Coturnix japonica: one gene and its partner. The protein of the gene in region 2 binds, or shares a complex with, the protein of the main gene of each other region. Links are inferred from orthologs where the notes say so. Each region holds a gene or a part of one and is shown on either strand. Other genes may lie near its edges. The genes, in order: POLE4 and POLE2.

Evidence for each region.
Region 1: POLE2 (region 2) and POLE4 share a complex: the UniProt entries of both Homo sapiens proteins name them as parts of the DNA polymerase epsilon complex. The link is inferred for Coturnix japonica from reciprocal best matches to the Homo sapiens genes POLE2 and POLE4.

The regions. Positions count from the first base shown.
Region 1 is NC_029543.1:371,275-381,839, forward strand, and holds POLE4 (DNA polymerase epsilon subunit 4), read right to left. Parts: upstream 4,564-10,565; 5' UTR 4,547-4,563; coding exon 4,364-4,546; intron 4,228-4,363; coding exon 4,143-4,227; intron 4,036-4,142; coding exon 3,994-4,035; intron 3,535-3,993; coding exon 3,521-3,534; 3' UTR 2,969-3,520; downstream 1-2,968. Other genes in the region: bone morphogenetic protein 2-like, read right to left, coding at 1-303; PRAM1 (PML-RARA-regulated adapter molecule 1), read left to right, coding at 5,361-5,363, 6,290-6,950, 7,088-7,133, 7,290-7,402, 7,594-7,648, 7,739-7,832, 8,024-8,186, 8,308-8,341 and 2 more; excitatory amino acid transporter 5-like, read left to right, coding at 10,035-10,333, 10,555-10,565. UniProt on the Homo sapiens protein: Accessory component of the DNA polymerase epsilon complex. Participates in DNA repair and in chromosomal DNA replication.
Region 2 is NC_029520.1:52,274,071-52,285,431, forward strand, and holds the start of POLE2 (DNA polymerase epsilon subunit 2), read right to left. Parts: upstream 9,162-11,361; 5' UTR 9,060-9,161; coding exon 8,992-9,059; intron 8,143-8,991; coding exon 8,042-8,142; intron 5,994-8,041; coding exon 5,918-5,993; intron 4,495-5,917; coding exon 4,417-4,494; intron 3,184-4,416; coding exon 3,090-3,183; intron 1,517-3,089; coding exon 1,442-1,516; intron 266-1,441; coding exon 182-265; intron 1-181. UniProt on the Homo sapiens protein: Accessory component of the DNA polymerase epsilon complex. Participates in DNA repair and in chromosomal DNA replication.

The DNA of each region.
Region 1 (10,565 bases), on a different chromosome or scaffold from region 2:
GTCGGGGTTTTTGGTGACGCCGTCGGCGTTGGCCACCGCGTTGAACAGATCCACCATGTACTGCGGCGGCTGTTTGACGTGGGCTGGGGGCGGCGGGGGGTCCTCCATGCCAAACACTTCCAGCAGCTTCTTGAGAGCCTCAGCCCTGCGGCTCTCCGGGGACGCCGGCCGTGCCAAGGCCAGCAGCAGCAGCACAGCGCCCAGCATGGCTCTGTGTCCCAGCCCCAGCCAGACTCCCCTCTGCAACCCCAGCCCAGCATTTATAACTGGCTGGAAAGATGGATTGGAGTCAAATATGCACATGGGCAATCAGGAGGGTAAAGAGAGCTAATAGCCATGCTAACAAGGTGCAAAGACGGGCACCCTGCACCAATTAGCCCCAGTACACAACGGGAGGGGAGGGCTGGGGGACAAGGACAAGGGTCCAGCTGTGCCCCTCTGCAAGGCTGCCCTGACTGCCTTTGCTTTGCATAGGAGATTAACTGGATTTTAATGACAGCACTAATGGGACCAACAGGAACAACCGCAGCCAGGCTGGACCGGGCCGCATCCCCTCCTGTTCCCATGCAGTTCGTGGCTGTAGGGTCTCTGTGCTGGGATCAGAGCCCACCTCTTGCTTGTGCACATCCACACAGTGCACCCCGAGCTGCACGGCCAGCTGCCATCTGTCCTCTACCCCAACCCCACATTCCAATGGTGAAAGGGCCATTAATTATCCAGAATACACAGAGAGGTGACCACAGGCTGGGGTTAATTGGCAGAGGAAACTCTTCACATCCTTTCCTTCCCCTTCCCTGCCCGCCAGCATCCCATAGGACCAGGGCTGCTCCCCACACAGCCCCGAGGTGCCCACCCCCCCATTCCCCTCCTGCCCACATTCTGCCCATGCTGTGCACAGAGCAGCTGCCAGACACCACACGTGCAGGGCAGCATCCCGGGACGTTGGGGCAGAGCTGCCAATTGCCTGCAATGTTTACCTTACAAGCTGCCAAGCATTTTGCAGAGGGTTCATTTCCAACGAGTGCTGCTCTCATTGAAACCAGCGGCTCTCATTGATAAAAGCCACCTTCTGCCATTTACATACAGCACAGACAGTCTGGCAGGGGTCTCACAGTGGCCCCACCTGATGAACCCCCCCCCGCCGCACTGCTGGACGGCCACCCCTGCCCACTTCTGTACAGGGCTGGATGTCCCCCATCCCCTGTGCCCAGCTCTGCCTTCCTCACCCAAGGGTCTGTCCCTTCCTCCCAGTGGAGCTCAAAGTGCCCACGCAGAGCTGGGATTTCTGCCTTTGGGGGTTGATCTGCCCCCTCCCGGCCTGAACCAACCAGCAGAGCATCCCTCTCCTGTCCCCATCCCACCCCACGGGCTCCGATGGCACTGCGGGCAGGGGATGGCACCGGCAGCTCCATCGGGTTATTCTGCAGCCCACTCCACTGCAGGGATGGATGCAGCCAAAGCAGAGGGTGCTGCCCTGAATCCGCTCAGCTGTTACCCCCAGAATCAGCCCAGGAGCTGCAGGGCATCACTGCAGGGCGGTGGGCTGGGGCAGCCGGCAGCTGTGCTTACCTAAGCAGGCGGGATCCCCCGAGGAGCAGCGGCCCCAGCTCCTTCCCACCTCAATTTCCTGCACAGATTTGCAACACAAAGGCACGAAGATCCCCCTCAGCACCACGCTGGGGACACCCCGGGGGACGGCCCCAATACACAGCCCAGGGCAGGCAGACCCAACCAAGGAGGTTTTGGGGATGCAGCATCCAACCACCACAACTGTTTCCCAAATAAACCCCTCTCAGCTCCCTCACTTGGCTTTGGAAAGAATCCCCCATCCCCATTGAAGGCTGTCGGCTGCTTTCAAGTACGGATGGTGACTCCTTATGAGAGCCCCGGACTGCTGGAATGGGGGATGTTTTAATCACGATCCCTCATGGCTGAGGGGCAATAAAGGGCAGACCCCCCCAAGAGCAGCACAGCCCAGGCTGCTGTGGGCAGGTATTGCTCCTTCATCCCACAGCTCTCCATGCTGTGACCAACTCATGCTGGTTTCCAAGCAATGTGCAGGCAGAGAATGGTAACAGCCTCCCCCAGAGCCCCCCTCCTCCTGTGCCAGCAGCAAACATTCATCTTGGACAGCAGAAATGCAGGAGGAAAGTGGCCCTGGGGCAAAGGGAAACCCAGCTGAAGGGGGGGGGGGTCAGTCGGCATTTCCCAGCTGGGCCGTTATCACCCAATGAGGCACCATCAGCCACCCCGGGGACAACTGCACCTTCCTGTCACACCTGTGGGGTGCACGGATTCTCCCAGCCCTGGAAATGAGCACTTGAGGCTGCCCGTGTGTCCCTGCAGACCCCCATGGGGTGGATGCCACCAGCCATTCCATTCCCTCTGACTCAGTGCAGCACCGAAGGGCCCCGCTCTGCTTCAGCCCAGCAGGTTTTGCTCTGTCTGGGACAACTGAGGCTGCAGTTCTCATCTCTAAGTGACTTTGGCACCACTTTAGTGGCCAACACTTTACAGCTGCATGTGTAACTGAATCCAGAGCTGCTCCCAAAGGCCACAGACCCACGGTGAACAAAGGGACCCATTTTGTCCTGTCAGGACACCCCACAGCATCCCTGAGCCTCTGCTCGTGGGCTCAGCCCAAAGACAAACCCTGATTGACCTGCTGTGAGCAGGCGATGCTGCCCAGCAAAGCACAGCAGGGAGAGATCAGACACAAAACCAGGCACCCCTATGGGCCCTGTGCTCAATGGGCCTGAATCAGCCCCGAGGGCAGCAAAAGGAACCTGCTGGCAAGGAAGGCACCGTGCAGCTCTGCCCAAAGCAGGACAGCTCATGGGCCACACGCTGTGCTTTGGCAAGGGCAGGGAGGGCTGCAGCACAGCCCAGCAGATCCACGCACAGGAGAAGGGCCAGGTTCAGCAATGAGAGCAAAGGAGAAGAGCAGTGAAACACGGCAGGCAACGCCTTCAAAAGCAGGGATTTATTACTGTCCAGCTGTGACCATCGCAGAACTTGATGGAGCCATGCAGCCCTAACAGCAACACGAGCCTCTCTGCAGCTCATCTGTGTGCCTGGAGCGGAGCATCCCTTCCAAACTGCATCTGTGCCACAGGAACAGCAGAGCAGCACAGAGCAGCATCACTCAGAACAGCCACTCAAAACAGCTCCGCCTTTAATTGCACTGGCCAAAAAGGAACCCAACAAAACACACAGAGACCAAAACATCCACTTCAATAATGTATCTACAGACCAGCAGGTGGGATAAACCAACAGGGAGCTGCCTCGGGAGCTCAGCTCTGCTCCATGGTGCCTGGGGGGGGGGCAGGGCTGGGGAGCAGCAGCAGAACAAGGAGGTCAGAGTCCTACAAAATACTTACAACAAAAGCTTTCAACAAAGATCTTACAGACACTCAGTCGTTACACAAAGCACCGCGGCTGCCCACATTGGTGTCCCACTGCTGGGAAGTGCAGCCGGTGCCGGCCGACCCATCTGCACAGAACCCCATTGCTGAGCAGCTCAGTCCAAAGTGCCTGGAAACAAAAACAACGATGAAGCAAAGCAGCCTCAGGGACCAGAAAGGAAAATGAAACACAGCTACAAGAACAGCTGGAACTCGGGTTTATAGGGAGCTGTGGGTCTATGGAGGGGGCTATATGGGGATGTGGGGCTAAAAGGCCCAGATAAAGGGAGTATGGGGGGGAAACAGGGGGGCATGGGGCTATGGGGGGCTGTACCAGGGATATAGAGGAATATGTGGCTACAGGGAGCAGTGGGGGGGGCTATAGGAGGCTGTAGGGTTATAGGGGGGGCTATAAGTGGGGTGTGGGGCTGGAAGGCCCAGATACAGACCCAGATAGTGAGACCATGGGGCTGCAGGAGGGATACAGGAAGGATATAGGAGGGATATAGGAGGGATATAGGAGGGATATAGGAGGATGCGGGGCTGCTTTGAAAGGGATTATGGACTAATGGGGGAAACCGAAACTCACCCTCCAGAAAAGCGAACTCATCAACAGCCTCAATGGCGTTATCTGCAAAGGGAAAAGGGCTCAGTGCCGACACAGACAGAAGGGCCAACCGGGAAGAGCTGGGACGTTTCTCTTCTCTTCGGACCCCCCCCCCCGGTTCCGCCCCGTACCCAGGTCCTTCCTCTGCAGCGTTTTCCTCTTCCCCTGCTGGGCGAACACAAACGCGTCCTTAGCGATGTTCTCCACGAACAGCTCCTGCGGGGCGAGCACGAGCGTCACACGGACGGAACGGGACGGAACGGGACAGACCGGGACAGAACGGCACGGACCGGAGGCTGCCCCGCATTACCCCGCACTGCCCCGCGTTGCCCCGCCCGCCCCCGCCGCTCACCGCGGCCCGCGCCAGCACGAACACGGCCTCGTGGCTGGCCAGGCTGACGTCCGGGTCCGCCTTCACCAGCGCCTTCACCCGTGACAGCGGCAGCCTGGCACCACGCGCCGCTCCGGGTCCCGCTCCCGGTCCCGCTCCTCCCGCATCTTCCGCCGCCGCCTCCGGCCCCGCCGCCGCCGCCATCCCGCAACGCGCATGCGCAGTGAGTGCTGCCTGCGGGGCGGAGCGGAGCGCCGGCTGTCATCGCTGTGTGCCGCTGGGGGGCGCTGTGTCTCTGTGCCGCTGGGGGGCGCTGTGTCTCTGTGCCGCTGGGGGGCGCTGTGTCTGTCTGTGCCGCTGGGGGGCGCTGTGTCTGTCTGTGCCGCTGGGGGGCGCTGTGTCTGTCTGTGCCGCGGAGCCGGGCGCCCCGCACGGGACCGGGCCCCTCCCGCATCCCCGGCCGGGTTCTCCGTCCTCCCGCCGCCCCCGAACTCGCCCCCCACCCGCTCTGTGCCCCACATCCCGCCCTCCGGCCCCGCTGTGCCCCAAACTTCCGCTCTGTGCCCCAAATTCGGCTCTCCGCCCCCCTGTGCCCCAAACGCAGCCCCGCAGTCCCCATAACCCCCCATCACCCACGGACACGGACGGGGCTCCGCTCAGCCCGTTCCCCCCCGGCCCGATCCCTCCTGTGCCGATGCTGCGGCCCGGGGTCGCTCCCTGAGCCCACGTCGGTTCCTGGACGGGGCAGCAGCATCTCCTCCCCCCCCCCCCACTCTCACATTCAGGCCGCAGCCGCTTCCTGGCGTTGCGCGCAGCCCCGCACCAACACAACGTTAGGAAACAGCTTCTGCTTTCAGTGCCGGGCGGGCTGAGCTCCTGCAGCTCCTGCAGCTCCTGCAGCCCCTTCAGCCCCTTCAGCTCCTTCAACTCCTTCGGCTCCTTCGGCTCCTTCGGCTCGGACGGCCCGCACGGTTCTCAGGAGGGAGGAGAGCCCATAGGACGCGTCCGTGGATGGGAAATGGTGAGCGCGAATGGTCCGACCCGCACCCGCACATCGTCACAGCCGCACCGGGCTGGGGGCAGTGGCAGCTCCGGAGCCCCCCGAGCAGCTCCCGGGATGGGTCAGCACCGGGTGGGCTCAGACAGGACAAAGCATCGCGGTGCCAGACGCTGCTCAGGTCGCAGTGACAGCGGCGCCGTTGCCCCGACGGCGCCATCGCGGGCAGCTCCGCGTCCCGGCTCACGGAGCGGCCACAAACACCGGGACGGGTCCCAGCTGGAGCCCTCGGTGCCCTCCGAGCACAAATCCCATTTTCCACCGTTTTTTCGCTGCCGTCCGTGCAGAACGTGGGCAACGTGCGCTGCTGAGCCCCCGTGGGTTCTGCCCCGGGACCAGGGGGCACCTGCCCCTTTTTAACACCAATTTCACATTATTTAATGCCCCACATTTGAGATCCCGCGGCTGAAAATGTCGCGCTGGATTCTCTGCGCTCCGGCCGTTCTGTTGTGAAAGAAAACAAAGTGATGCAAGAGCAAAACGAACCGAAATCCCGGGAGGAGGAGAACTAAAGAGAGAGAGACGCGATGGGGGGGGGGGGTAAGGGGGAGAGGGAGAGGTTGGGTGGGGAGAGGAGCCGGAGGGGAGAAGCGCAGCTCGCCCTGCGCGGATCCGAGCCGGGATCGTGGCACAGCCCCGCGCTGCGGCCGCGCGCCCCAGTTCCGTGCCCCCATCGCGGGGTGAGCGGCAGGAAACGCTCCGGTCACAGAATTGGGGCAGATCCGCCGCCTCTCGGCCTCTTTTCTTCTGTTGTTGGTTTGGGTTTTTTTTTGCCCTCAGCGCAGCGTGTTCCGGCAGCGCCGTCGGGGCTCAGCGGTCGCGTTCCCCGCGGGGCACGGGCTCAGTTTTCCTCCGTAACGGCTGAACCGGAGCTTCCCTCGGTCCCGCAGGAGCACCCGGACGGTAAAGAGGCGGCGGGGCGACACCTGCGAGCGAAGCTGAAGGACGGCGTGAAACCTCCCGCAGCGACCGGGCGGGCGCGGGGTCCCCCCGCAGTTTTCCTCGCGACGGTGACGGGACGGGCGCCCGCGTCGGGCTCCAAGGGCGAACCGCCCCCCTCGTCCCCCCTCGCCGGGACGATGGGCCTCAGCAGAACCGCTGCGCCCCGCGGCAAAGCTCACATCGAGGGTCCCGGCTCCCGTCCGACGCCCGCCCCCCAGAGCCCGGAGTGGATGGAGCGGCTGAAGAAGGGCATCGCTCCGAGCGCCGCCTCCCACCCCCCGGCTGCCAAACCGGGAGGACGGGACGCGGACAACAAGGGGCTCGGAGCCGCCTCCCGCCCCCCCCCGAGGAACCAACCCCCGCACAAATGGCCGCCGCTCAATGACGCGGCCGCTCCGTCGCTCCCCGCCGCGGGCGCAGCCGCTGCCGGTGGAATCCGGGGCTCGGGGCACCCCCCGCGCAGGAAGCCGCTGCCTCACGCTGCGCTGCTGGGAGCGAGGCCGGCAAAGCCACGGCGGCCTCCGGGGGTGGATCTGAAGAAGTTCCATCGGGCTGCACCCCACGGGGAGCCCGGCCGGGCCGCTGCGGGGCCACGGAGCGCTGTGCTGGGTACGGGGTGGGGATGGGGATGGGTACAGGGTGGGGATGGGGATGGGTACAGGGTGGGGATGGGGGGCCGCACACCCGGCTGCCTTCTGGTCCCTCGCTGGACCAGTGCAACCTGTGGTTGCTCCCTCTGCCCCCAGGTCACACAACGCAGCTCCCACCGCGGGACGCTCAGAGCGCAGCAGGGTCAGTACCGGGGAGGGACTTTTATTTCGGGGGTCTCTGACCGAGTGGGAAAAGCATGAAGTGGGATGGTGGGGGGTGGGCCGGGACCCCCGTGATGCTCCCCCGGCGGTGCACACTCCATCCTGGGCTCCCTGACGGTGCTCTGCTCCATCCCAGCGGTGGGGAGGAGATCTACGATGACGTTGAGAGCGTTGAGCTGCTCGGGAGAGACCGAAGCTTCCCGCCGCCCCCCACATTCCGGCCGCCAACGCATCTGCAGCCCAGAGGAGGTGGGGGCAAAGGGGGGTGTGGGGCGGGGGGGACGAGGTGCCCCCACTGCCCGGTGGGGCCTGTGACACCAGCCCTGCTTGTCTAAGGGGTGCAGATGCACTCAGGGTGTGTGGGCACCCTGGAGGCCATGGGAAGTGATGCTCTCAGCCCCCACCACCCTGCGTAGCCCTCTCCATGCTTGGTTTTACAGGGGGAGGTGCTGCTCAGGCCCCCAGCACGGTCGCGCTGCTGGTTGCTGCACAAAGGTAATGAGGGGGGTGAGAACCTCTGGGCCAGGGCACCAGGGGGGCAGCGGGAGGAGCCAAACCTTCCCAGCACTCACAACGTCTCTGCAGAGGAGCTCAGAGCTCCTGGAAGGCAAAGCCAATGACACTCAAGGAATGCAAGAAGGAAGAGAAAGCAGACCGGGAGTTTCAGAAGAAATTCAAGGTGAGCAGCCAGGAGCTTTTCCTTCCCAGCTCCCCCTCGCTGTGCAGAGGGGCTGCGTGCTCCAAGAGCAGCTGGTGCCCAGCCGGCCGCCCCATCGAGGCTCCCCCAGGGCAGACCGAGCCCTCAGCGCCGTGCTGCCCCATAGAGGAGGCAGTTGGAGCTCAGGCAGCCAAACTCTGCTCGTGTCTCAGTTCGAAGGGAACATCACCGTCCTGACCCGGATGATGGTCGACCCCGCAACGACGGAGAAGAGGGGAGGGGGTAAGAACCTCCCGCTCAGACGGGGTGAGATCCTCGATGTCATTCAGTTCACCAACAAGGAGCAGATTCTCTGCAGGAACAGCCAGCGGAGATGTAAGTCGGCCGCTGCCCCACACAAAGCATCGCTCCTGAGGGATCCCAGCTCCATCCCTGGAGCTGCTCTGCTCCCTCCCAGCCTCCCCCCCCCCCAATGCTTCTCCCCACTCTATTGCAGACGGTTACGTGCCCCGCGCTGCGATGCTGCATCTGTGAGTATCTCCTTCCCCAGCCCTTCCTCCCGGCACCAACAGCGGCCGCAGGGAGATGTGGCCCCTTCTGAGGACAACCTGGTGTCCCAGCTCTGCGGAGGAGCTGCCCGGGGGGGCACAAGGGGCAGAGATGGGGCAGAGATGGGGCAGGGCTGCCCCGTCGCGGTGGGGGCTGCGGGGTCCTGGAGCACTCACAGCTTTTCCCCCACAGGGACACGGACATCTACGATGATGTTGATCTGTGCGGTAGGTGTGAGTAAAGCCCTGCCGGTCCCACGTGCCCCAAGCAGAGCAGCAGAGCCCCCCACGTCCCTCGAGTCCCCCACGGAGCCCCGCTGAGCGCTGTGCAGCCCAAATGGGAGCGGCTGCATCACTGCGGTGCTGATGGGTCAACGTTCCCACCGGCAGAGTGACCGACCCGAAGCACCACCGGACCCTGAGGGCTGAAGCTCCGATGCTGGAGGGGCTGCGAGGGCCGGTCCTGCAGCGCAGAGGTTTGGGAGGGTGGTTCAGATGGAGCCCGCGGCGCTTTGTTTGATTGGTGTGAAACGTGGCGCTGATTTGTCTGGTCTCTGTGGTGTTTGGTTGGGTTCTTTGGGACGGGGATGGATTCAGTGCCTGAATGACGCCTCCGGGTCCGGGAACGGATCCTTCGGGGCTGGGAACGGAGCTCCATCCCCACTCCATCCTCACTCCATCCTCACTCCATCCTCACTCCATCCTCGCTCCATCCTCGCTCCATCCTCGCTCCATCCTCGTTCCATCCTCGCTCCATCCTCGCTCCATCCGCGCTCCATGTGGACGCGGCCCCGCGGGGTGCGGGCAGCAGGGAAGGGTTAACCCCCCCCCCGCGCTCACCCACTGCCGAGCCCAGATTAAGCAGCGCAGGACGTCACTTTCCATTACGGGAAGGGCTCCCGAGGCAGCTCTGGGGCTGGATTAGGGGCTGGCACAGCGAGGGCTGCGATGCGCGGGGTGCGGAGCCGCTGCTGAGCGGGGCCATGTGGGAGCGCGCCCGCGCGGCGCTGCTGGGCTCGTTGTCCATGGGCTCCGCGCAGCTCGGGGCGCAGCTCCGAACCTTCTGGCGCAGGAACGGGCTCCTGACCTTGTCCATGTTGTCCGTGGGCACCGGCTGCCTCCTGGGCTTCCTGCTGCGGGCGCTGGAGCTGACGGAGCTGGTAAGGACGGGCTGGGAGCGAGGGGAGCGCAGGAAGGATCGGCCCGGAGAGCGCGGGATGTTCTGCCGGGGAGAACCGCATCTCACGGGCGTGTTTTCTTCGTATTTTGGCCCCAAATCCCGCGTCCCTCCGCCGGGACCCCGCGGGGCTGCAGGGGGTGGGTGGGGGGAGGCAGCCGCTGCCCTGAGCGCTGCGCTGGGCGCTGCTCCCTGCTCGGGGCCGCCCCACGGTACAGGGCAGCAGTGCCGGAATCCCGCAGCTCCTCCACTGCTCGTGCTCGGCATCCAGGCGAGTCCCGGCACAAAACACACCGGGTTCCCGGGGGTCCCCTCCTGTTCCCAATGAGCCATTAAAATCACAGCGGTTTTAACTCAGCGCTGATCTGTGGGACGCTCAGCCCCGCGTAACCTGCGAGGATTTGGCATTTGTCACTTCAATTACACCCCGCAGCATTACTGCCCGCAGCGAGGATGATCTGACTTAACCGAAGCGGGGTGTAATCCCACTGCACCCCAATGCACGTGGCCATGAGAGAGGCAGCATCCCGCTGCCCCCGCCCCAGGGAGTCCAACAAATCCACGTGGCACTGGGGAAGGTTGGGTGGAGGATGGAGGGATGGAGGGATGGATGGGTGGATGGATGGATCTGGGCAAATCTGCCCAGTTGGAGCCTTTCACCCACAACCAGTGCACCCCTCCCCACTCCCACCCCTCCCAACGCTCTGCTCCCTGCAGGAGAAGCAGTACTTCTCCTTTCCTGGAGAGCTGCTCATGAGGATGCTGAAGATGCTGATCCTGCCGCTGATCACCTCCAGGTGAGATACCACCTTCTGCATCTAAAGGACCATGAGACAGGACATGTGGCTGCCTGGGTGTGGGTGCCAGGCCCTGGGCTGGTGGGAGCAGAGCTGGTTTGGTTGGGGTTCTTTCCCTCTTACACCTGCAGCACATGGGGGGGGTCCAATCAGGATCCCCAGCGCTGACTCCATCAGTTTGGGAGCGGGTGCTGAGTGTTTCCTGGTGTTTCCTGGCACAGCCTGATGTCTG
Region 2 (11,361 bases):
GCACACCCAGAAAATGTTAACCTCTTTTTAAGGAATGAGTCTTTCACCATAGACACTGATGGCAGCTCCATCATCAGCTTATACAGGAGGGTAAGGTGCTGACTGAGCCTCCTCATTTTCTAATATATTCTAGTGCTGAATGACTGATGATCTGTACAGTCCACAGTAAATAGCAACTTACCTCCTTGAGCTGAGTTATCATCCCAAGGACAATCACTTCCCTCACTTTCGTTGTATTGCCCAACAGACTTTCTACTGTTTTAAGCTGGAACCAAAGGCAAAGAATCATGTCAGACTAACTCCAAGTCTCCAAAGCAGCTTTTTTGAAGCAAGCAAGACAAAGTATCACACAGCACACACACATATTCTTGCATAAATACACAAACAAGCTAAGACAGAATTCAGGTTCATTAGAAAATCAGGGACACATTTCTGAATGTCAAATGTAGCACCAAGAAGTGCTTAGCAAGTAAATATTTGTTGTTGCTATTTTGCTTACAAAAACATTAAAACTGAAAAGAGTAAGTGGCAATTTCTGCTCTTGCATATGAATTTCAATTGTAGTAACTGGATCTTCAGCAGGATCCGATGTGAACCACAGGGCCAGCCTCCAGCCAGGCAGTAACATCAATTATTTTTGCTGAGGAACCTCAGATGGATGACAGAGAATAGCCCTGAGTAACAGCAGTGATACCACACAGCAGGCTGTCTGCGTTCTCCGGACAAACTCATTTTGGTCTGCCAAGCTGCAGTTAAGGGAGACGATCCTCCCAGAACACCAGCATAAACAATGATGCTCTTGCCACTGCTGACAGGAGAATAGGAAGCTGTCAAAAGAGAAAGATGCCTACAGAGGCTGTGTGGAGATGCAAGCTCGACTCAGCTAAGGCCACTTGTTTTTTTTCCCTACAAGATGGCACACTCTGAACAAGCAGGAACAGGCACGGTGCTCAAAACAAAACCTGTTATTTGGTACCCACAGACACACATATGCCTGTTTTTTTTAAAAACACATAATAATAATGTAATATCAGAACAGCATTCAATATTCAAAAACTGAAATGGAAACAGAACAGACTCAGATTGTGAACTTATTCAAGTGGAGGTTTGTGAACCTGGTGCTTATGAAAGAAACGAGAAAAATATTCTCAAGTAAAGGGAAAAGAAGTGTAAAGCTGAGCAGTTAATGTATTTCCACATTGGGAAGCCACATTTCTCGTACACTTCATAGCTGTTTTTAAGCAGCTTGGTCATCATGCTGATGTAAGCCACATAACTGCCATTTTGACACACCAGCTAAAAATGATAGAAAAAAATACTCATTTTCATTGATCACCCATATTGGATGGAAGAAATAATGTGTCACAGGAGGAGTGCTGCTGCATTAAAGTGTAGCACCAAGAACAGTTCCCTCTGCAAGAAATAAAGAAAGACTTTTTACCTGGAATTTGCTCCTACTGTCGTCAGGATGAACGACAACTGCTGCAGGTGTGAACAGCTCATGTCTGTGAGTCCTCTGCACAAACCAAAATTGAAGTAATATAGTTTTAAAAAAAGCAGTGCTGTCAAAAGGTTCATTTACAAGCACCATACAAAATAATTTATGAAGTTCTCTCACTCTATTTCATCCAGAAACATTTGACTTGTTTTCGCACAACCAGTTGTGTTGACAGTAATTTGCTTCTAAGAAATAGACTCACACTGGACTATAAAACTAAGCCCAAAAAGTAGATGCATGTGTAATAGCTTTAGAAGTTCTTTCTGACTACCTGCAGGAAAACAGTGAGACAGCAAGGGAAGGTAAACTGTATTGATTGCTGGCTATATGGAAGAGAGCGGGTCCTTTCTTCAGGGCAGGGCCTATTATAAAAGCAAATACTTTTTATTGTTGTTTTGTGTTTGAGGTCTTCATTTACAAACAAGGGCAAGCTACACTACAACTAAAGTGCAGAGCACGTAGAAAATGCACTGTGCAAATTTTCACTTCTTTCAATGTTCTTCATGCAGTCTAAATATCTCTCCTTGGAACAAACCCATTGCTACCAGCCCATGTACCACATGCAGGAATTAAAACTAGCAGCCTTCACCCATCGTTATTTGAACGTTCACTTTTCTGGAGGTCACAAAGGAGAAAACTTAACATACTGTTTGCATGAACTAAATCTTCAGCTAGTGGCCTTCCAGGACAGAGGCTCCCAGCAGTAGCACTCTTTGGAAGACAGAGTTGCTGGTGCCCTGGGGTATGTAACCCTGGTCCAAAGGCCAAGCTAGTCACTGTGGGGTGGCACAGCAAAAAGCTGGGCTCGCTGCCTGCCTGCCTCCTGGTGGTTCACTGGGGTTGGGGCTGCATGGAGCCTGCTAGCACAAGGCATGATCTGTGCTGCGCATCTGTTAGAGCAGACACATCATAAACAACAAGTCATCACATCAGCCATTCACTCCCTGATCTTATACTGCTCATGCCAGACTGCAGGGCAAAGCACAGAGGGGTTACACTCCAATGTGTGGGGAGAGTGGATGGCAGGAAAGAACTGAGCTGAGGTCCTGCTCAGGGATGAGCCCAGAGGCTGACTCCAAGCTGAGTGCACAGACTGCACAGGGCCACCACCTACAGATGCTGCCAATAACTGTGGCTACCACCCCCACAGCAGTGCAAAGTAAGCCCTGCTGGGGAGTTCTGCTCAGGAGCTGCTCACAACTGGGGATAAGCCACAATTGCCACCATGAGATGACAAAGGGTAGCTGGCTCCTACTGAGCATTCTGAAAACTGGAAAATGAATAACTGAAATAAGCCAGAAGCAAACGTCAATGCTTCAAGAAGAGGCCAAATGAGAGCTTCCCAGGATTTCAGGTTTGTATTATCTCAACAAGCACTACGCACAATGACAGGCTAGTAACACAGGAGAGACAAGAAGGCACATATAGAAACAGATAACCTGCTCTTATGACACAATGCTAAAATGCTCAAACACATGCATCCATCACACTGCATGGCATCAGTTGAGAAGACTATATCTGTATTTAACAGCAGAAAAGAAGAAGCATTTTGTCCATGTATTCTGTTAAACAAAGCAAAACTGTTTCTGACCTGTTGTAAGATGGAGTAGCGTTCACGAAACAACTCTGCTTTATCTCTGGCAGTTCCAAATAAATTTGGTACAGGAAAGTTGGTCATTGATAGACTGCAAGAAGTTCAACAAAATCAAGATTAAAAAAGGTACATTCCACATACAGAAATTACTTATTGATTTAAAAGGTGTCTGCAAAAGCTGTAACACTACTGCATAATATATGTAGGCAATGAGCAAGATTTCTGCTAGGGCCACCGTGTTTCTGTTTTTGAAGGCTATATCAATTTAATTTTCCTCTACATCACAGACCTCAAGACCTGTATTTCCATGTGATCAGGACTCTGCAGAAGTCCATCCTTTAAAAGCACTTATGCCTATTAAGTGACTGTGAGCAAGTACAGTTTCTTCCCTTTGATGAACAGAATGTCTTCATGCAGTGCTCTGCTTCTCATAGCCTAGAAAGCCAGAAAGTGGCACTGGAATCAACCTCCTCCTGCAAACACACAGAATGTTGTGGCTGACCGACAGATTCATGAACCAGGACTAGAAAATGACATTACATGAAGGTCATTGCAAAGCCTCACCATGAACGTCACCAACAATTTCTCAGCTAACAACACCTGCAGCGGCTGTAAAAGTAAAGCCTCTATTGGGCTCAGCAGTCAGGGCTGCTTGCTGTTAATGTAAATTCTTCAGTAAATGTAAATGTTCTAGCAGAACATTCGTAACCAATTCCTGCAACTACTTATTTCTTTTTCCATCCTGGGGGATCTCTGTGCGCTCCATTTTTTTCTATTTTAAACATACTGTAGGTCTCTTTAGAAACGCCCCAGAGCTTCAGGACGTTGTAAGCTACAGCCTAGAAAATAAATACAGACAACAGAGAGACCAAATTTATTGGGAAAAAGATCCATCAGCCAAATACAGAAAGAAAAAAAGCAATCATTATGTTAGTGATGTATGCCCTTAGCCTTCCTGTCTCTTGTATTCCTTAAATGGCATGAACATGGTTAGCACATTGTGTGATGAACACTCCAGTTTCAGAGCTAGTCAGATCGCAGGCAGCACAGAATGCACTGCCACAGAGACAGAGATGGCCATTTCTGCTCCATCCTACCTAGTGGGGAAAACCCAATGGCACATTTATTAATGAGCCAGCATTTATCACAGCCTCTGTAGAGTCAGTCAGGCTTTGAGAAACAAAATTATCTTACTCTCTCACACGAGCTTGAGATGAGTGAACCCAAGAGGGAAAGAAGAGAACAGAGACTTCTTAGACATACAGAAATATAGGCTTTCTCTTAAAACAAGAAGCAATTGAAGCTTAAAACATGCACGACTTACGGTATAAATCTCTTTCTGTCTGAATTATAAATGTAGCGTGGAATATCAAAGGCTCCAATAATGTTGAAAACATTTTCTCTGAAATGAGAATTTACAGCATTAACTGAGGTGGAACTAACAAACAATAAGGAGAGAAAATAACTAAACAAACATTTGGAAGAGAAGTGCATTGGCTTTGTTCTCTATTACCCTGCATTACTACTGTATCTCCTGCTCCACTTTACCTACTGGCTACTTCAGCACCTTCTAAGCAAAAAACAAAAGGAGCTTTACTTAGAAATATCACAGAGATTCATCTTTTTCCATTACTATCCTCTGGTACCTTTTCTGTCAACAGAACAGTCCTGGTGTGCTTTATGTGAATAGGTTTAAACAAACACAAAACTTCAAACCATTGACTGAGTTGATTGATAGCTCCTATTACATGTACTGGTTCTGTTCTTCTCTCCCATTACTCTCTTAGCCTAAGAGCATCAAATTGATCAGAAGAGATGAAAATTTTTCCATGAACCCTCACTATGGTTTTGAAGCACAGGACAACAGTCGCTGCCTATAAGACAAGGGTGTCTCAGACTTCATACTGTTTATTTCGTACGAAACTTTATCCCCAAGCTTCCTTCATTGTAATTTAAAGTCTGAGAGGCACAAGTGACCTGTGAAGTATTCCCTTCAGGACTCTGCAGTGAGAACCTGTGCAGCCAGTACCAAAAAACGCATTTAAGTACATGAAGTGACATAAGAAAAAGTCACTTTGAAACCGTCAGCATTATTAAGGTTCCAGTGACTGGGAGAAAAGTCAAAAATAAATGAATTTGCTTCACACTGAGGAACTGTGGGATCACAGTATCTGCCATGCCTAACAAACCATCTGTTTTCATGATTTGCATTACGATGTCAATACACGAGGCAAACACTGAAGAAAACACATTCATCACAATCACAAATAAAACTCTCAGAAGCTCAAGTAATTGTTCTCTGCTTTGTTATCAGAGAGTGAAAATCAATCATGGTTCTCCAAATAACAGCCCTGCCAGACAAAACAAAAAACACACACAAAAAAAGCAGAAAGCAGCACCCTGGAGGAAAACTTTTCCAAGTGCTCTTATGAAAGTCACAAAAACAACCTCATATAATTTTCATCTGGAGAAAAGGAAATAAAGAAACGAACAGAATTAACGAGTCCCCTCTAAATCCTAACCATTGGTTTCTTTCATCGGTTAATATTCAATCTGTGTCACATGTAACACATAACGAGCTCATTTTAATTCCAGAATGTCAGCATTATATTTAGAATCCCCCAGAGGACTATCCATGAGAACCAATTTTCTAAGAAGGAACCATTACCAACCTTCCAAGGCAGCATCAGGAAGACAAAGCACAAAGCAATTACTGGCATGTGTAGCACTGCTGGAAACGCCTGGCATTTATTTCCCCATCAGAAATAAAGCAATGTGAACCAACTCCCACAAAGATCAAATAAAAAGAGATAATGTCACCGTACATTGTTTCATCTATCGCCTGGCTACATTCCTGGACAGCTGCTTCCACGGTGGGCAGTTCAATCATATTATTTGACACTGGAAAAAAAAGTTCAATGGATTAAAACGGCAGCATAAGGAGAGTGGTAAGAAAGCAAGGAGGTCTGAAATATATTACAAGAAATGGGTGAGTCTTCTCTATTACACAAAGAAGGGTATTTTCACAAAGGTAACAACACACGGGATGGATCGCTTAGTATTCTTACTGGTAGGATGCTTCTCTAGCGAAAAACTAACCTACACACATATTGTGCCCACCCTTAATTCACTAAACGTGGAGAGCAAGACAATTATAGCTCATACAAAGCTGCCAAATACACCACAAATGTGTTAGATGAGAACTTTCACATTCTGGAGGTTAATTTTATTCCAGAACATTATTGCACAGATTGCTGTCATAAATAAGTATTCAAACAGCTTAGCACAATCCTGGAGACAGGCACATTGTTGCCTTCATAGATGTTAAACTGATAATTGAAATTCAAAAACATTTCTAAACACAAACGTGTCGTTGAATTTGAGAAGGACACCAGGGCATGGATTCACAAAAGGACTTGGTCGGTGCTGTTCTTTACTAAGTTCTTCACTAGGAGAGTGGTGAGGCCCTGGAACAGGCTGCCCAGGGAGGTTGTGGATGCCCCGTCCTTGGAGGTGTTCAAGGCCAGGTTGGACGGGGCCCTGGGCAACCTCATCTAGTAAATGTGGATGTTTGATGGCCCTGCCAGGCAGGGGGTTGGAACTACATGATCCTTGAGGTCCCTTCCAACCCGGGTCATTCTGTGATTCTGTGATTCTGTGAAAATCCCACCTTGCACAAAGGCCAGCGTTAGCAAATCCACCCACAGGTATTACACTGACCCTGGAGTTTCTTGTACTGATTCAGAACTGTTCAAAAATGTGCACGGTGTAATTTGTAGCAGCAGGCTTCACACTAGGTAAGGACCAGCTCTTCAAACTGCTTTAGATCCCAATCTGAACGACTGTGTTTTCCAATAGCTACTGTAAGAATATAAAGTTGTAACTTCTGTAGTCGCTACTCTATAGATCAAGCAAGCAACGAACACATTTTATTTAACCTACTTTAAATAGGAGAGGCTGAAAATGTTTCCTGAACTCTTACAAGGCCTAACATTTATTCCAGGTCTCATTTACATGGGACTGAATCTCCTCTCACAAAAAACTGGCCAGGTTTCCTAGTACTCATGAGCTCAAAACATTAAACACACACATGTGTGGGGCATCGGTGCCACCTCCCTCAGCCACGTTCAAGTAAGGATGTGACAACCCCTGTGTTCTGTGGCCCATAATTAGGGATGCTGTGCCTGAGGACACAGTTACAGCGAGGCTCTGAAAATTACAGCTGTCAACAACACTAATATTTCTCTGGGCCTGGGCTACGGAATAACAAGTGAATTAACTTCTTGCTATTTCTTTGGTTTATTTGAATATTTTAGATGACAGTTTCAGATGCAAAGATGCTCACACAAACTCAGCTAGGAGCTCTTAGTAGCTGGCATTGAAGAATTTCAATACTCCTGGAATCCAAAAGTCAGGAGCTACCAAGTTGCCAACTTTTCAAATAACAAAGTGACACTACCTTGTACAGAATGGCCTGGGTTGGAAGGGACCTCAAGGATCATGAAGCTCCAACCCCCCACCACAGGCAGGGCCACCAACCTCCACATTGATACCAGCCCAGGCTGCCCAGGGCCCCATCCAACCTGGCCTTGAACACCTCCAGGGATGGACGGGGCATCCACAGCCTCTCTGGGCAGCTGTTCCAGCACCTCACCACTCTCACAATAAAGAACTTCCCCCTGCCATCCAACCTCAATCTTCCCTCTTTCAACTTCAATCCATTTCCCCTTGTCCTGCTGTTATCTGCCCTCTCAAAGAGTTTTTTCAAAGAAGCTTTTGCTGACACTACAAACTTCAGTATTTAACAAAACAAAATGTTAACAAATCTTGATCAACCTCCTAGACCACAGTGACACTGTAGAGCATAAGTTGTCACTACCCCTGTCTGAATAACACTGTAAGTGCAAGATAAATGTAGCAAGCTTAGGAAAAAAACAGTGTTTACTTACAAGGCTGTTTTTCAACCGCATCGATGATTTTGTCGATTACATCTTCAAACTCTTCTTCATTGAGGGACCGAAGAGTTTCAGTGAGATATTTTACAGCTTCCCTAATGTCAACAAAGAAAGTCAGCCCAAAAAGCAATTCATGTTCAGTAAAGCTCATCTGAATGGTGTCGGTTCTGGTAGATGTGCATACTCCCCATGTCCCTTTTGGGCACCTTTTGGGACCACCTTCACCTTCCTTCCCAAGGGCTGGCTCACCCCTCAGGTACTGCAAGCCCATGTTAGCCCCAGCTGCCATCTGCAGGACACACTCCACTTTATCAGCAGCTCTGATACTGGAGTTATTGTAGAATCACAGAATCAGTCATGTTGGAAAAGGCCTCTAAGCCCAACCTATCCTCACTGTGTCCATTAAGCCGCATCCCTCAGTGCCACACATGGCCACACACAATGAGAATTACAAATCCACTCCTTCCCTCATCCTCAGACTACACACTTGCAGTTAAAGATAACGATTTTCTTATTAACATCATCTGCCAGACAATCAAACTGGCACCTCAGTTGACGGCCCAACCTTCTCATTGCTGTTTAACAGTGGGCTCAGGGCTCGGTCTCCTAATGAAACTCATTATTCCATGGCCAGGACCTCGTCCAAAATAATCACAATCTATTCACAACAGGTACAAAACAGAGCTATCACTATGCATGATCTTCAAAGGCGAAATACAAGTATCGACCCAACAGCGCATCAGCTGATCGGAGAGGGGATAAAGGAGAGCTTTTAAGCAGCTTTTGATGCTCCCTAGACCCGCGCCGCGGGCGGAGGCGGATGGCAGAGGCCCATGGCAGGGCAGCAGGCGTTCGGGCAGCCTGAGGAGCCGCCGAGCCGGGCCCAGGCCTGGAGCCGCCTCCACACTCGCCCCGCGCCGCCTTCCCCTCGTCCCGCTACTCACGCCCGCAGCAGCAGCCCGCGCACCCGGAACGCGGAGCTCAGGCGGCGCCGCAGCCGCTCGGGCTCCATGGCTGTCGTTTGGCGCCCAGCAGCGCCGCGCCGCCCCACAGCCCTGGCCCTGCCCCGGGTGGGAGGAGGCCGCGGGACGGCATGGATGGCGAGTACAGCTGCGGCTCCGCCGCTCCAGCCCGGCCGGCTCCAACTCCGCCTGCCTTACTTGTAGTAACGCCTTTACCCACTGCCTTGTGAGCTCTGTAGCAGGAAGGGCACACCGTGAGCCTGGTCTGTTTTCTTACACTCTGACATATTATCTGTCCCATCCAAACATGTTCACTGAGACAAAAGTCAGTTGGCCCCACATGCTGTATAAGTTACACTCAGTTTTTAGTTCATCACCCCACAGCAGTGACTGTCAATGCTCCAGCATCAGTAAAGACGAGTCAGGTTGGATGAAAGCTTTCTTCTCATACAGAGCAGTGCTGGAGGTGCTCCAGAGCCGTGGGGATGTGGCACTGAGGGATGTGGGCAGTGGGCACAGCGGGGTGGGCTGGGGCTGGGGTCTGCTCCAACCTGAGTGATGCTGTGATCCTACAGATGCCCCCACCACTGACTTTTCACACAGGCAGGGAATTGAGCATCTTTAGTCTGTCACAGCATAGCAAGTCCTAGCACAGAGCACAGTAAATGCGCTGCACCTCTTGCAGTTCCAGTCCTGTGGGGCAGCTGCCTTCTCTCCAGCCAAAAATTGACTGATATTTCACCGAAATACTCCCAGCCTCATCTGCTGAAGCACAGCTTTGCTTCATAGAAGGCTCAGAAAGCAACTCTGAAAAGATCCTCAATCAAAACACTGCAGGGATATAAAGCCAGATTGAAAATGTCAGCTTATTTTCTGTAGTCCGTTCTCAACTGCATCATTTATAATCAATCCCCCTCATCTGGAGGAAGCTCATGGGCAAAGCTGAATCTATCTACTCACTTTAGACATAAAACTACCAGCTGACAGGTCTCAGCTATTTTGGCAGGAAACACGATCCATTTTTCAGCTCAGCTAGGTGTGAATTATGAACCCTTATGTAAGTTCTTCTATTTGCTAAGATTACCACCTTTTCTTCTTAAAGAAAAATCCAATGCTGCCAATGTCTGACCCAGAGAAGGAAGGCAGCCCTCTCTGAACATAAGAAATAGTAATTTCTTTTAAAATACATGTCCAAACCAGGAACACGGGGGAAATTCCCTGCAGTGCTTGGGGTTCTGTTCGGTTGCCTGGAGCCTCCCACCAGAGATATAAAAGTATTCCAGTGTGAGCTGCGGATTTCTGTTCCCTCAACCATCTGCCTTGTGCTCTGGAAGCCAGGCCCAGCTCTTGGCCTCCAGTCCACAATGACTCTTGACATGAGTGCTATGGTATCAGCACACGTGGCTGGAGAGGACAGAGCTGACTCAGCCTGATGGTTTATGATCAGTTAAGCTCAAGGAGGGAAGGTTTAGGTTGGGAACTTCTTCATATAGGGTGGTGAGGTGCTGGACCAGCTGCCCAGAGAGACTGTGGATGCCCCATCCATCCCATGGCAAAACCTAGGAGCTGCTTCACACTGCCCAAGGTTTCTTTCTGAGACCACATCAGAGCTCTCTACTTGACTTACAGATGTGTTTCTTAACTCCATCAAATGTTTCCTTCCTGTGTCCTAACCATCATCCCAGTGCCTCATTGTTTCTTTTATTCATTTAAACGTTAACAATCATTAACAGTTAACGTCCTCCCTTCTTGATGCGTGTCTCACTTTGTGTCCTTTTACAAACATTCAAATACGTGTTTCTCAGACATTCTACACCACTGATGAAGAGCTGTACCTGATTTATGTCAAATCCCATTCATTCCAAATGGAGCCACTCTTTGGCTGACTCTCACTGGATTGCTGACTGAACAGTGAAGGAGCTGGGATGGGAATGAATGTGTATCCCAGCTTGCTGCTCAAGGGCAAGCCAACGGGAAGGCCTGGGCGTTGATGGGATGATGGGTTGTGACCACTTAAACATGTAGTTGGAGTCTACATTGAGCTTATAGCACAGCTCCATTCGGTTCGGTTCAGCAGTGACCCCAGCACACAGGTCATGCACAGCAGCCCTGGGACCCCCCTGCAGTGCTCCACCACCTGTGGTCGGAAGCTTCTACTTCCACCTACTTTACAGGTCAGATGGCAGCACTCACAGGACAGTTCTCTACAGTCAACAGTCTGAACTCCCACACAGTCCTTCTTTATCAGCTGGTGTTTCACAGCTGCAGCTTCTGGCAGGAGCCAGATGAGCAAGTTTTGCTGTGGTTGTCCTAGGCCGCGTCCCACGCTGAGCTCTGCCTCAACCCAAGTCT